Sus scrofa: one gene and its partner. The protein of the gene in region 2 binds, or shares a complex with, the protein of the main gene of each other region. Links are inferred from orthologs where the notes say so. Each region holds a gene or a part of one and is shown on either strand. Other genes may lie near its edges.

Region 1 (6,827 bases), on a different chromosome or scaffold from region 2:
TGACTACTTGAAATGATCATCAACTAATTTAAACCAGAATTTTTTTTAATACTTTTTTTTTTTTTTGTCTTTTTCTAGGGTCACACCATGGCATATGGAGGGTCCCAGGCTAGGGGTCTAATCGGAGCTGTAGCCACCAGCCTACACCAGAGCCACAGCAACACAGGATCCGAGCCACGTCTGCGACCTACACCACAGATCACAGCAACACCGGATCTTTAACCCACTGAGCAAAGCCAGGGGTTGAACCTGCAACCTCATGGTTCCTAGGCACTGTACCTCAACGGGAACTCCAGAATTTTTTTTTTTTTAATGTCAGAAGAACATGTTTTTCATCAGTTAGGCCAGAAAAGAAAGACCTTTGATTTAAAGTTACTATTTGAGTCCAGTTCTATATAAGTACCTTCTTAAATTAAAACCAGGACTTAAATTCTTGATCAATTTTGAAGTACATTGCATTAGGGCATTGCTACCATAAAATACTTTAACTTTGAAGGCAGAAAGAAGGTAAGCTTCAACACTTATTGAGTGCCTTATATGACAAAGGTCTTATTTTGAGGACTTTACATATATCATTCAATTTTCACAACAATAATGTGGTAAAGATCACTCTCATTGTACAGATGAGGAAATTGATGTTCTGAGAGGTTAAGTGACTGGTCAAAAAAAAAAAAATCATTGAAGTCGTACAGCCAGGACCTTGGCCATATGCCAAATGCAACAAATATGGTGATGGAATAATCAAAGCTGAAAGCAAATAACATGCTTCTTTTTATTTGGTTCTTTCTTTCTTTTTTTTTTTTTGTCTTTTTAGGGGTGCACCCGCGGCATATGGAGGTTCCCAGGCTAGGGGTCGAATCAGAGCTGTAGCAACAGGATCCAAGCCGTGTCTGTGACCTACACCACAGCTCATGGCAACACTGGATCCTTAACCCACTGAGCAAGCCAAGGATCAGGTCTTCGTCCTCATGGATGCTAGTCAGATTTGTTTTCACTGAGCCATGACAGGAACTCCTGGTCCTTTATTTATAAATTTTCTATTCTTAATCACAGAATAATTATGATATAGATTTTTGAACCATATGTTATTTTAGCTTATTTTTATGTCTCAGGGAAAAATACATCCAGCAACTAAAAGAATTTAATAATTACTTCTCATTATTTGAAAAAAAAATTACTGTGTATGTCTCCCCACAAAATGTTGCTTAGGATAACAATAGCTTTGACTAATGAGGAAGTAGTATTAGGCTAAATGTCTGAAGTATTAGTTTTTATGTCTTGAAGAATAATAAAGTAAAAATATTTTTTATAATTTCTCCATTATCTTAGAAAACATATAGTATATTAACAAGTATTAAGAGAGATAATTTTTAAATATGGTAGAAAATTATGATATTCTTACTTAAGTTTAAATAATGCCAATACATTTTCAGGTTTAGTGTTACAGTTTTGGATCAGAAAGTATGTATGGTGTAGGGAGTTCCTATTGTGGCACAGAAGAATTGAACCCAACTAGGATCCATGAGGATGTGGGTTAGCTCCCTGGCCTCACTCAGTGGGTTAAGGATCCGGCATTACTGTGAACTGTGGTGTAAGGTCACAGACACAGCTTGGATCCCATGTTGCTGTGGTGTAGGCTGGCAGCTGTAGTATCAATTCCGACCCCTAGCCTGGAAACTTCCATATGCTCTGGGTTTGGCCCTAAAAAGCAAAAAAAAAAAAAAAAAAGTATGGGTTGTGTGTGTGTGTGTGTGTGTGTGTGCGCACACGCATGTGCACACAGGTGTGTATAATGTTATAGATACAATTATAATAATCATAATCATCTAGTTTTACTACTGCATTTCTTTGATGATTGATACACACATACATTTTCCCTGTAAAGATATAATATTTTTAGTTGAAAAAACAAGTGAATGAGATAATGAAATAATATTTACATGGAGAACTCAATGTCAGGAGCTATAGTAAATGACATTTTCAATACTTCCGATGGTGGATGCTTTGTAATGTCATCTGTTCCATCTCCTCATCCAATTTTCTTTCACAGAAAATTGGTTTGCACCTATTGTAGCAGTAGAGGAAATTTTCTCCTCTCTAAATAATATTAGGGTTTAACAACCAGTACATATAGTGTACTTGTTGCTTAATATTCATTAAATAAACATTACTGAACATAGAATATACATAAGACAGTCATTCACAGATAATAATTCTTACTTTTAAGCAGTAAATATTGAATGTGCTTGTCTATTTTATTAAGGAAAATAAATGTTGGTTTTATTAGACACTTACACTAATGTACGTAACCTAAATAAATCTCATATCACCATCAGGGGAAATTAATTAGTGATATGAAAAACATAACCATGTTCTCCTCTCTTACATTAGTCATTTGGCCTGAAATTCCTACTAGGAGAATCTACACAAGTACCATCAAGAGAAATGTACATTTTAAAATGACTTAAGTGGAGTTCCCGTTGTGGCGCAGTGGTTAACGAATCCGACCAGGAACCATGAGGTTGCGGGTTCGGTCCCTGCCCTTGCTCAGTGGGTTAACGATCCGGCATTGCCGTGAGCTGTGGTGTAGGTTGCAGACGCGGCTCGGATCCACCGTTGCTGTGTCTCTGGCGTAGGCTGGTGACTACAGCTCCGATTCGACCCCTAGCCCGGGAACCTCCATATGCCGTGGGAGCGGCCCAAAGAAATAGCAAAAAAAGACAAAAAAAAATAATAATAATAAAATAAAATTACTTGAGATTTCGTTTCTAGCATAGGATAGCAACAACTCATAGGAATTAATTACCATAAATCATTTTCTAGCCTAGAATAGAAAACCTAGAATAGAAATGGAGAGAGGGTCAGGTAGAAGGAAAGTTGAAAGCACAAATATTAACTGTGTTTTCAGATTAATTGCATAGAGTAAAAGTCTAAAACACAGGCTTTGAAAATCACTGGACCCGAGTACAGACCCCGCCTCTGCAATTTACTGGGTGTGTTGCCTTAAGAAAGTTACTTAACTTCTCTGAACCTCAGTCTCTCCATATACATAATAGCTATAAATCGATACTGACCTCCTGAGGACATTGTATGAGATTATATATATATATATGTGTGTGTATATATATATATATATGTGTGTATATATATATATATATGTGTGTGTGTGTGTATATATATATATATATATATGTGTGTGTATATATATATATATTGCCATAAGCTAAGTGCCTGACTCATATTTAGTACTCAGTGAAAGTTAGTACTCTGGGGACAGGAGGAAGAAATGCTGAAGTTTAACTAAGAGGGTAGAAATGATGTTGATAATAATAATGATTGTTAAAGGAAAAGCAGTTGTTTTATATAAATAATTTATTAGGTACAACAATACAGTATATACCTGATCTTTTTTTTTTTCTTAATTTTCAGTGTGCACCTGATTGGCCTATTGGTTTGGCAATGTGATATTTCTGTGAGCCCAGTAGCAGCTATAGTAACTGACATTTTCAATACCTCCGATGGTGGACGCTTCAAATTCCCAGACGGGGTACAAAACTGGCCAGCACTTTCAATCGTCATAATAATAATCTTGACAATAGGTGGCAACATTCTCGTCATCATGGCAGTAAGCTTGGAAAAGAAACTTCACAATGCCACCAATTACTTCTTAATGTCCCTAGCCATTGCTGATATGCTAGTGGGACTACTTGTCATGCCACTGTCTCTGCTTGCAATCCTTTATGGTAAGTACAATTTTGTTAGTTTTTATTTTATTTTTTTATTAGTTTTTAAATCTCAGGTGGTGTCATAAATTTGTATCAGGTATCATAGTGAACATTCATAAATTTATTCTACTGTAGCATTTGAAAAATGAAGGAAAAAGAAAATTGTGTGACAGAGGTAATTGAATGTGCGCATCATATTTATTATGTAAATCAGTAGCAGAGTCTTCCAAAAGCAAAACAAAGGCTTTATAATATATTAAAGTTAGATGTAGATACTCTATTGCTCAGTGTCATTTCTAAACAAAAGTTGCCCTCCAATGTACAGACTGTGACTGTAAGAGAAACACATTCCTACCCCTACATTCTGGGCTGTACACATACCTAGTACCATCTTTTATATAAAGAAGATAAAACAAGCTCATTATCTTTACTAAACATATTTTAAGTAATTTTCTTCAATGTTAGCAAACTAAGTGCTTGGCACATAATAAGCACTTAACAGCTATTCTTCTTATTCCTATTCATGTTTTTACAAGGAGACAGGGATAACAAACTGATTATTAATTATATTAAGTACAAATTCATATTATCACAGTAAAAATTCAAGCATTGAAGGTTTTGATATATGATTTTAGAGAGGGTTTTTTTTTAATTTTCTGCCATCTCTCTGTCCTATTTATTTTAACCTAACTTGTTTCTAGTTAATATTTATAAAGAACAGTCAAAACCACTGAAACTAAACTACAAAGTATCTTTGTTGGGAAGTTGGAGAACTCAGTTTGAATGCTCATTTTATAAGGGAGTGAAAAAAACCCCCTGTTCCCTGGAGTGTGTAATGGGATTAGATTGGAAGGATTAATACTGAAAGTGTATCAAGTTCTCAAATCCTAAAAGAAGATCATTGAACCTAGGAATAATCTCTTGTGGAGCTTAAAAATTAATTATCCTATTCTAAATACACAGTGGTAATAGATCATCTCAACAGGCATTTTATAAATAGTATTCTCAGGAAATATGCTTTTCTTACTATTGAGTTTCAGTGATGCATTAATCTCAAAATGTAAGTATTTGACCTTCTCTGTGAGTATTTTATTCTAGCCCCAAATTATATATGAAAAGGTCACTGCAATGAATATGCCTTAGAAGGTATACTTTGTCTTGTGGTGTCTATTTCATTTTGCCAGTTTCTCTCTTAAAAATATATGGGTGGTCAAAAAAATGGCATCAGTCTAAATCCAAATCTCTTAACACATCCATCGTCCCCGTGACAAGCAGTAAAGAACAACAAAAACGAATAAAACTATACAATACCACTACCAAATTTGGATGACATCCAAATCAAATTCCAAATTATCTGTAAGCAGAAAAATAAATAGATGATCACAATGAGCTATCTATTAGGCTCCCACCACATGCTGTTGTGTAGAGGAAGGGCAGTCTAGGAAATACTACAATGAAAGAGAGAGGAGGAAAGCTAGTAGGAAGCCTAAGACTGATCTAAAATCATCATAAGAAAGCCTATCCCAGTGTGAAAATTCTAAAAAAAACTTCTCTGGAAGCTTAGCCTTTAGGCAAGTGCCTAGAAGTGTGTGTAGGACTCAAGAAAGCAACGTTGGAGAAGGAACTCTTTGGAGGTAAAAAAAAAAGATTAAAGGGAGAGGTAACTTTTGAACAAAAAAATGCACAGTGAAGGGGAAAAGAGACAAGAAGGGAAATTTTATCATCTTACAAGACAAAAAAAATGTCAACATGTAAGAATCCATCAAACTTCCCTCCCACTGCCCTCCCCTGTACCCCAAAATCCTCCAATAAAAAAACATACTTGGTTATGTGAAGATAAGAGGATGTTCTTGAGCTTGGAATCTTGGAAACCACCCACAAACTGCTCGCGATGGTCATATAAATTAAAAAATGCAACCAATCCTCATCCATATAAAGCAGAACATGAAAATCAAAAAAAAGGCATTTGATTAAAATTCCCACAAATAAAGAATGATTGAAAAATAAAGCTATAACAAAATACTCCAAGAGAAATTTTCTAAAACATTTAAAGATATATTTTTTTAAAAAAATATCTTATAGTAGAAGTCTAAAAGCTAAAAAAAGAAATGGACCAAAAAATTGGTCAACATAAAGCAAAAGTTAATTGAACATAGAACAGTAAAATAGAAGAAAAAATAAAATCATATTGGAAATGGAAATTAAAAGTACCTAAAGAAGAAAAATGAAAACTTAATAAGAAGCACTGAAGAAAAACAGGAAAAACAACAAAAAGAATGAAAACGAGATGAAGAAAGAAGTAAAAGAGTTCAGAAAGTGATATCAAAGACCAGAAAAAAAAAAAAAAACTACAATGTATGTATAAAGAGAATCCTTGAAAAGGAAAAAAAAATGGAACAGAATTAATATTTAAAACTATAATCCAGGAAAGTTTTCCAAAAATAAAAGAGTTTAAATGTACAATGATACAGCTCACCAAGAATTTGTCCTGGAACAGTCAACTCTGAGATTGATCTGAGACATTGGACTTTAAATACATAGAAAAATCTTCTGGGATGCCAGGCAAAAATAAGAAATAATTTACAAAGTCATGATAATTATACTTGCCTCATAATTTTAAAAAATATTAAGCCAAAGCAACAGTGTAACAATATGTTTTTTAAGTCAACCACTTATAGGACATTCTTTTGAAAACAAAGCTATATAGACATGAAACAAAACATTAGTTTCCAGGTCTGAAGGTGGAATGCTGACTCCAAAGGGGCATTCACTTTGGTAGCATGGAAGTGTTCTATATCTTGATTGCAATAGTGGTTATATATATATATTTCTCAAAACTTGAAAAACTATGTATTCTAGTATGCAGTTTTTAAGCATTAATTTTATACCTTAAAATCTAAAAATGGAAAAATTGTCAAACAAAGTTGGGAACAAAGATCTTGTATCCAGACAAGCTGGCCATCTAGGCTATAAAAAGTTTAAAATTTTTAAAACTCAGAGTGTTCAGAACCCGTAAGTCCTTCTTAAGAAATTGAATGGTGGATGAGATTCATCTAACCAAGGGATGGTTGGGAAATTTTCCTCAAAAAGGTGGATGATGAA
Region 2 (6,827 bases):
TATTAGACCCCTGGCCTGGGAACCTCCATATGCCTCGGGTGCAGCCCTAAAATGCACAAAGAAGAAAGAAAAAAAGCCCTATAAAATCCTTAGAAAAATAAACTTGACAAGAAGTGTGTACGATTTATATGAAGAAAATGATGAAAAATGAAACTTTACTGAAGGGCATAAAAGAAGGATTGGAGAGTCACATCGTGTTTCTGGATGAAAATATGCTTAAAGCTCTCAGTCCTCTCCAAGTTAATCTCTATGTTTTATGCAATCCTAATCAGAATTTTAATGCTCTCCCCCCCACCCCACCCCCCGCCGAACTTGGCAGGTTGATTCTAAAGTTCAGCTGGAAAAATACATTTGGGAGAATAGCTAAGAAATTTTTGGAAAAGAATAACGAGATGTGACTGCTTCATCCAAATCTGAAGTCATACTGTAAAACCGTATTAAAATCACATGGTTCCTGCTGTGGATAGATGGTGTCTCTGTAGCAGCAGGGATGTAGGTTCAATCCCTGGCCCCATACAGTGGATTAAGGATCCAGCGTTGCCATAGCTGCCATAGCTGCAGTGTAGGTTGCAGCTCCAGTTCAGATTCGATTCCTGACCTGGGTGGCCAAAAAAGGGGGAAAAAACAAACAAACAAAAGACACATGGTCTTGTTTCTAACTACCTAACTACCTAGCAGAAGGAACCTTGACTGCCTAGAGAAAGGGCCCATCCCAAATCTTGAGCAAGAAATGTGGGAGGTGAGGCGTTTGCATTGTGGTTTAGCGGTTAACGCATCTGACTAGCATCCATGAGGATGCAGGTTCCATCCCTGGCCTCCATCAGTGGCTTAAGGATCCTGCGCTGCTGTGGCTGTGGTGTAGGCTGGCAGCTCCAGCTCCAATTCGACCCCTAGCCAGGGAACCTTCAAGTGCCGCGGGTGTGGCCCTAAAAAAGAAAAAAAGAAAAAAAAAAAAAAAAGGCGAGGCGAGCTTGTAGCATCCTTTATACCGTAAGCAAGGAAGCTCATCAAGGGTCCTGTCAGACCCCGGAGCTAGATGGCAGCTGGCCATTCAGCCAAAACTCATCACAAGCGTGTTAACATCTACGGGGACATAAGGACACTTCAAAACAATCGAGTACCTCTGGAGGAAGTACTGAAAATTCATTCTGAAAATCGGGAAAGGGAAGGCATCAAGCATTTATTCTCCCTTCCTGTACAAACTGCACCTCCGAATAACCTACTGGTTGATGGGGGGACGTTCTTTTTTATAGACGAATTCCTCTCTCTCTCAAAAAAAGTGGCGCTCGCTGTTTTGCTGTCCCCAGCGAACTGTCAGGACCAGGCAGTGATCCTCGGGGGCTGCTGCAAGTCATATGTGAAAGGCTGATGGGGCGCTTTATACGGGATGGATCAGGCTGACCATACCCGGACCTAGGGTTCCTCTTACCTCACCCCAAAGACAACCAGACGTTATCACATCCCGTGGGGATGCAGAAAGCAGGCAGCACCACCTGTGACATATTCTTGCCAGAAATTGAACTTGAGTCTCTATGCCAATAACCCGTTCACAGGAGACACGGAACAGAGGCTCAGTTAACACCCCAGGGGCAGGGATGTGAGCAGTGAGGTACCTCTTAGAGTGACCCAGTTTTTTCCAGCAAATGAATGGCCAAGAGGGGGAAAGGGACAGGGAGAGGAATTTTGTAGGTGAAGTTTGAGAGATGCTGCAACCAAACGAAGCCCCCCAAAGCTTGCTATTAACATTCCCCTTGACCTCCTGTTCCCTGGCACATCCCTTTCATATCCACTGTCCACGTCACCTATGAATTCCTGCCCCCTGACGTTGCTGTGATCTGCTGTCCCCTTCACCAGCCACGCCAGCCTAGTTTCTCTGACTCCCTTCCCCTGAGTCTGGCACTGCGGGTGCCCCAGGGTGGCGCCGGGGCTGATGGGTGCCGTCTCCCTCCGTGTTTTTCCATCTCACCCTTTCGCCCACGGCTTCCCTTAGCTTATTCCCAGCACCTGGACAACGAGATCAGCCACAGCAGCTACCTGGGCACCGACTACCCCACAGCCATGACCCCCACCTCCCCTCGGCGCTACTCCCCCGTGGCCAAGGACCTGCTCGGGGAGGAGGACATTCCCCGGGAACCGAGGCGGATCGTGATTCACCGGGGCTCCACGGGCCTGGGCTTCAACATTGTGGGCGGCGAGGACGGTGAAGGCATCTTCATCTCCTTCATTCTGGCCGGGGGCCCGGCGGACCTCAGCGGCGAGCTGCGGAAGGGGGACCAGATCCTCTCGGTGAGCGAAGGCCGGGCCGGCCCGTGCCCTCCTCCCCCGCCAACCCACCCGTCGGGGCCCTCGTGGGCCGGCGCCTGGTCCCCACCTCCAGCGCCTCTGCCGCTCCTCCTCCCTTAGGTCAATGGCGTTGACCTCCGCAATGCCAGCCACGAGCAGGCTGCCATTGCCCTGAAGAACGCGGGGCAGACCGTCACCATCATCGCGCAGTATAAGCCAGAAGGTACCGCGCCTGCCGCTCCCCCGTCTCTTGTGGGGTGAGATGGTCCTCAGAGCCCTGGGGCTCCTGGGGTCCGTGGGGGGCGGGGAGGGGCGAGGACCGTGGGGCCGGGGCTCAGGAACCTTCTTGGCCTTTCGTAGAGTACAGCCGATTCGAGGCCAAGATCCACGACCTTCGGGAGCAGCTCATGAACAGCAGCCTGGGCTCAGGGACTGCCTCCCTGCGGAGCAACCCCAAAAGGGGTTTCTACATCAGGTCAGACGCCCCCCGCCCGGGCTGGGTTCTTCTCATTCTGTGCCCCCCTCACCCCCCAGCCAGCTCGTCCCCGAAACCCTGCCTGACGCCCCCATCCCCAGGCCTGACACTCAGCTGGCTTCCCGCGCGGGTTAGCATTTTGCAACACGCCAAGCGGTTGGAAAACAGCCTTGGCTCAGGTGTCCCTACCGCCTCCCAGCCCCTGGGCCCCCTGGCACCTCCCCTAGGACGCCCAGCTGCCTCCCACTCTGCTCACTCAGAGGTTAACACGCAGCAGAGCAGGGGCTCTTGTCCTCCCAGCCCTGTGGGAGGACACAGTCCAGGGGAGGGGACCACAGCACTGTCCCCCGTCTCTCCGGTGACCTTCCGCTACCTTCTTAGAGCTGCTCCGCCCGCGGGCTGCTCTTTCTCATCCTCATCAGGTGCAGGCGCCGCATCCTCCCCCCTCCCCCCTGGGCTCCCATCCTCCCCCTTCGGCCTCACCTGTCACTTGCCCTGCAGATGGCCCTCAAGACTGTCGGCTCTGGCCTGGCCTCTTCCCGGAGGTCCAGACCTGCGGTTCCGGCCATCTGCTTTCTGGACATGTCCCTCAGGACGTCCCACAGGCGTTCGCACTCAACACGTCCCAAACTGAGCCTCACCTCTTTCCCCTGTACGCTCGGTCCTGCCAGTGTGTGTTCTCTCTCTGAATGGCACTGCCATCCGCCCGGGCACCTGGGACAAACCAGAGCCTGCTGGAGTTCCTCTGTGGTCCAGCGGGTTGAGGAACTGGTGTTATCACCGCAGCGGCTCGGGTTGCTGCTGTGCCACGGCTTCGATCCCTGGCCTGGGAACTTGCCCATGCCCCGGGTGCAGCCGAACAAAACAAAACAAAACACCCCCACAAAAAACACCTAGGCCTTGCTTGGCCCTCCCCTCATGGCGAGGTCCAGTTTGCCCCTGGGGCTGGTCACTTCTGACTCCCAGACGATGCTGGATGATCCTGGAGTCTCCTCCCGTCTTTCTAGCCCCCGTGCTCGCTCAGCATCTCTGCTGTCTCGGCTGTCGTTCCCTCCCTCTGTCCTGACCCCAGGGGTTGTGACTTTGAGGAATTTCTCATGGCTGAGGGTGCCCAGAGTTTGTCAAGAGCGATCTTTTTTTTTCCCTTGTGAGTTTGATTCCAGCGTCCTCCGCGCTGTGAGGCCCATGCATATTGCATCTGCTTTCTTGGGCAGGTGCTGGTCTAGACCTTCCTCTAGAAACGTCACTGAGTCCACAGCCTGATCCCCGACACAACGTGGACTGGATGACGGTTCACCGTTGTGGCGATTATGAGTTTTGGTAGAGCTTCTGGTCCCCACGCTGTTCTTGGGTCCCTCAGAATCCACGGCACCTGTGGGAGAGCCGGCAGCAGCCCTGCTTGTCTATAGGCCCCTGGGCAGCACCTCCAGGATGGGTCTCAGGGGCCAGGGTCCCCACCGGTCTCTGACCGAAGGCCGTGTGCCCTCCAGGGCCCTGTTTGACTACGACAAGACCAAGGACTGCGGCTTCCTGAGCCAGGCCCTGAGCTTCCGCTTTGGGGACGTATTGCATGTCATCGACGCCAGTGACGAGGAGTGGTGGCAGGCGCGGCGGGTCCACTCTGACAGCGAGACCGATGACATTGGCTTTATCCCCAGCAAACGACGGTGAGCCTTCCTGCCACTGAAGCTCACAAGGTCCCCAGGCTGGGCAGCCAGGATGGAGGCCATGGGCCCTCTGACTTCTTGGGGGTCTGTCTGCGGGGGGTGGGGGTGGGGGCAGGGCGTCATGACTCCCATGAGCCTTAGGGGCAGACAGCTCCCTTAGGAGCGCAGACGCCCAGGGGCTGCTGGGAGATGGGGCTGTCCGCCGGCCTAGGGGGCCATCGGGCCCCTGCCTGGGCATTTCTCTACCCCATCCATCCCACATGTATCCCACAGGGTTGAGCGACGGGAGTGGTCAAGGTTAAAGGCCAAGGTACGTGGAGGAGGCCGTGAGCTTGGGCGGAAGAGGGGGGTGGCTTGTAGGGCCGGACTCCTGACCAACTGCACGGCCTGCTCTTTCTTCCTAGGATTGGGGCTCCAGCTCCGGATCACAGGGTAGGTGGGCCGGTTTGGGAGGAGCTGAGGTGAGAGGGCTCCGAGTGTCTCGTGACATCCTCAGGAAGGTGGCGCGGGGCCCTGAGTCCCCTGCCTCGGAGCCCCTTGCAGACGCCCTGCCTCCCGCTAGGTCGAGAAGACTCGGTTCTGAGCTACGAGACGGTGACACAGATGGAAGGTGAGCCCCGGGCCGCCCCTGCACAGCCCCTCCCGCCCCCACCCAGCCCCCCCTGATCCCGCCCTCTGTCGTCAGTGCACTACGCTCGCCCCATCATCATCCTCGGGCCCACCAAGGACCGCGCCAACGACGATCTCCTCTCCGAGTTCCCCGACAAGTTTGGATCCTGTGTCCCTCGTGAGTGCCCAGGCCTGGGATGGAGGGGCTGGGGGCGGGGCCCAGGGGTCCCAGGCAGAGCCCCTTCTGGGCATTGATTGGGGTGCAGCTGGACATGAGGATTCTCGGAGAAGGGCGCTTCTCAAGTCACCCTCACGTCCTGGGCTGACCATCCCAGGGCAGGGATTTGGAGGACTCGGCGGTGGTGGTGTGGGGGGGAGGCAGCTCTGCCCCCCTCGGCCGGCATCTGGGGCTGCGCCGAAGGCAGGGCTGAAGCTAGACGGATGGCGGTTAGCTCTTTGGGGGCTGGGGTGACTTCCCGGCAGATACGACACGGCCCAAGCGGGAGTATGAGATAGATGGCCGGGATTACCACTTTGTGTCGTCCCGGGAGAAAATGGAGAAGGACATCCAGGCACACAAGTTCATCGAGGCCGGCCAGTACAACAGCCACCTGTATGGAACCAGCGTCCAGTCCGTGCGAGAGGTGGCAGAGCAGGTAGGAGCCGGCGGCCCGTCCTCTTCCTCCTCCCTCTCCCTGCCCTGTGGCCTTCCTCCAGCTGTCTCTAACTCTCTCTCTCTCTCTGTCTGTCTCTTTCCCTGCTGGGTCTCCGCTCCGCTCCTCCACCTCCTCCTCCTCCTGGGCAACTCTGTCGCCTGCCTGCTTTCCCGGGCCCCGCCCCCGCCTCCCTCCCTCGGTTCCTGACCCCAAACTCCGTGCTGCCATCTGTCCCCTCCCCTCCCCTCCTCCTTGCCCCATTTTTGCCTCTCCTCCTGTGGCCTCGGCCTTGATGGCCCGGCCTCCCCCCTCTGGGCCCTCCCTTCTGCCGGCTCCCCTCGGGTCCTCTCCCCTCCCCCTGCCCGTCCCTGGGGTCCCGGCTCCCGTCTCCCACTCCTCTGCCACCTCCTTCTTCCCCATGCCCCCACCCTGCCCTCTCTCCCTCCACGGCTTCTTTCTCCATCTGCCTCTCCTCCCTCCATCTGCTTCTCCTTGTTCCTTCCATCTGTCTGTCCTCTGTCCGTCCTCCCGGCCCTCCTCCCTCCACCCCACTTCCCTTCTCCTTCTGGGCTTTCTCCCCAACCTGTCGACGCCACCCCGCTCTTGCCTTGCTCTGCCCCATCTTTTGGGTCCCCTCCCTGCCTGTTCCTCACCCCTCTGCCCATTCCCCCAATCCCTCCCTCCTGTGCTGGCCCCTCCCTTGCTCTCTGTCTGCCGGCCTCCTTTTCTGTCCCTCACTCTGTCTGTCTGTACCTTTCTTGCCTCAACTTTCTCTGCCCACGTGTCTTTCGACATCCATGTCATTTCCCTTTTGGTGAATCTGCCGTTCCCCACCTTCTGGCATACTGTGTCCTGTCCTGGCACCTCTGTCTGTCCTTTCCCACCACCTGCTGGCCCCCCTCCGCCCGCCCTGCCCGCCCCCCAGGGGAAGCACTGCATCCTCGACGTCTCGGCCAATGCCGTGCGGCGGCTGCAGGCGGCCCACCTGCATCCTATCGCCATCTTCATCCGCCCCCGCTCCCTGGAGAATGTTCTGTGAGTATGGTCCCGGGGGGGCCTCCCCTCTGCTCCCCGCACCTGTGGCCCTGGGCCTCAGAAGGCCTCTGCGTTGAACTCTTCCCTCAGAACCCTGGACAG

Evidence for each region.
Region 1: the proteins of DLG4 (region 2) and HTR2C are in contact, whole or in part, in an NMR structure (PDB 2MHO), measured with the Rattus norvegicus proteins. The link is inferred for Sus scrofa from reciprocal best matches to the Homo sapiens genes DLG4 and HTR2C. Residues at the interface, in NP_062567.1 of Rattus norvegicus: Gly74, Leu75, Phe77, Ser78, Ile79, Ala80, Asn85, Pro86, His87, Ile88, Thr97, Lys98, His130, Val134, Leu137, Lys138; in NP_036897.2 of Rattus norvegicus: Val452, Val453, Ser454, Glu455, Arg456, Ile457, Ser459, Val460.

What each region holds. Positions count from the first base shown.
Region 1 is NC_010461.5:94,191,756-94,198,582, forward strand, and holds part of HTR2C (5-hydroxytryptamine (serotonin) receptor 2C, G protein-coupled), read left to right. Parts: intron 1-3,429; coding exon 3,430-3,743; intron 3,744-6,827. UniProt on the Homo sapiens protein: G-protein coupled receptor for 5-hydroxytryptamine (serotonin).
Region 2 is NC_010454.4:52,552,073-52,558,899, reverse strand, and holds part of DLG4 (disks large homolog 4), read left to right. Parts: intron 1-1,990; coding exon 1,991-2,286; intron 2,287-2,403; coding exon 2,404-2,506; intron 2,507-2,643; coding exon 2,644-2,758; intron 2,759-4,248; coding exon 4,249-4,425; intron 4,426-4,698; coding exon 4,699-4,735; intron 4,736-4,829; coding exon 4,830-4,857; intron 4,858-4,987; coding exon 4,988-5,035; intron 5,036-5,110; coding exon 5,111-5,212; intron 5,213-5,517; coding exon 5,518-5,690; intron 5,691-6,615; coding exon 6,616-6,725; intron 6,726-6,827. UniProt on the Homo sapiens protein: Postsynaptic scaffolding protein that plays a critical role in synaptogenesis and synaptic plasticity by providing a platform for the postsynaptic clustering of crucial synaptic proteins.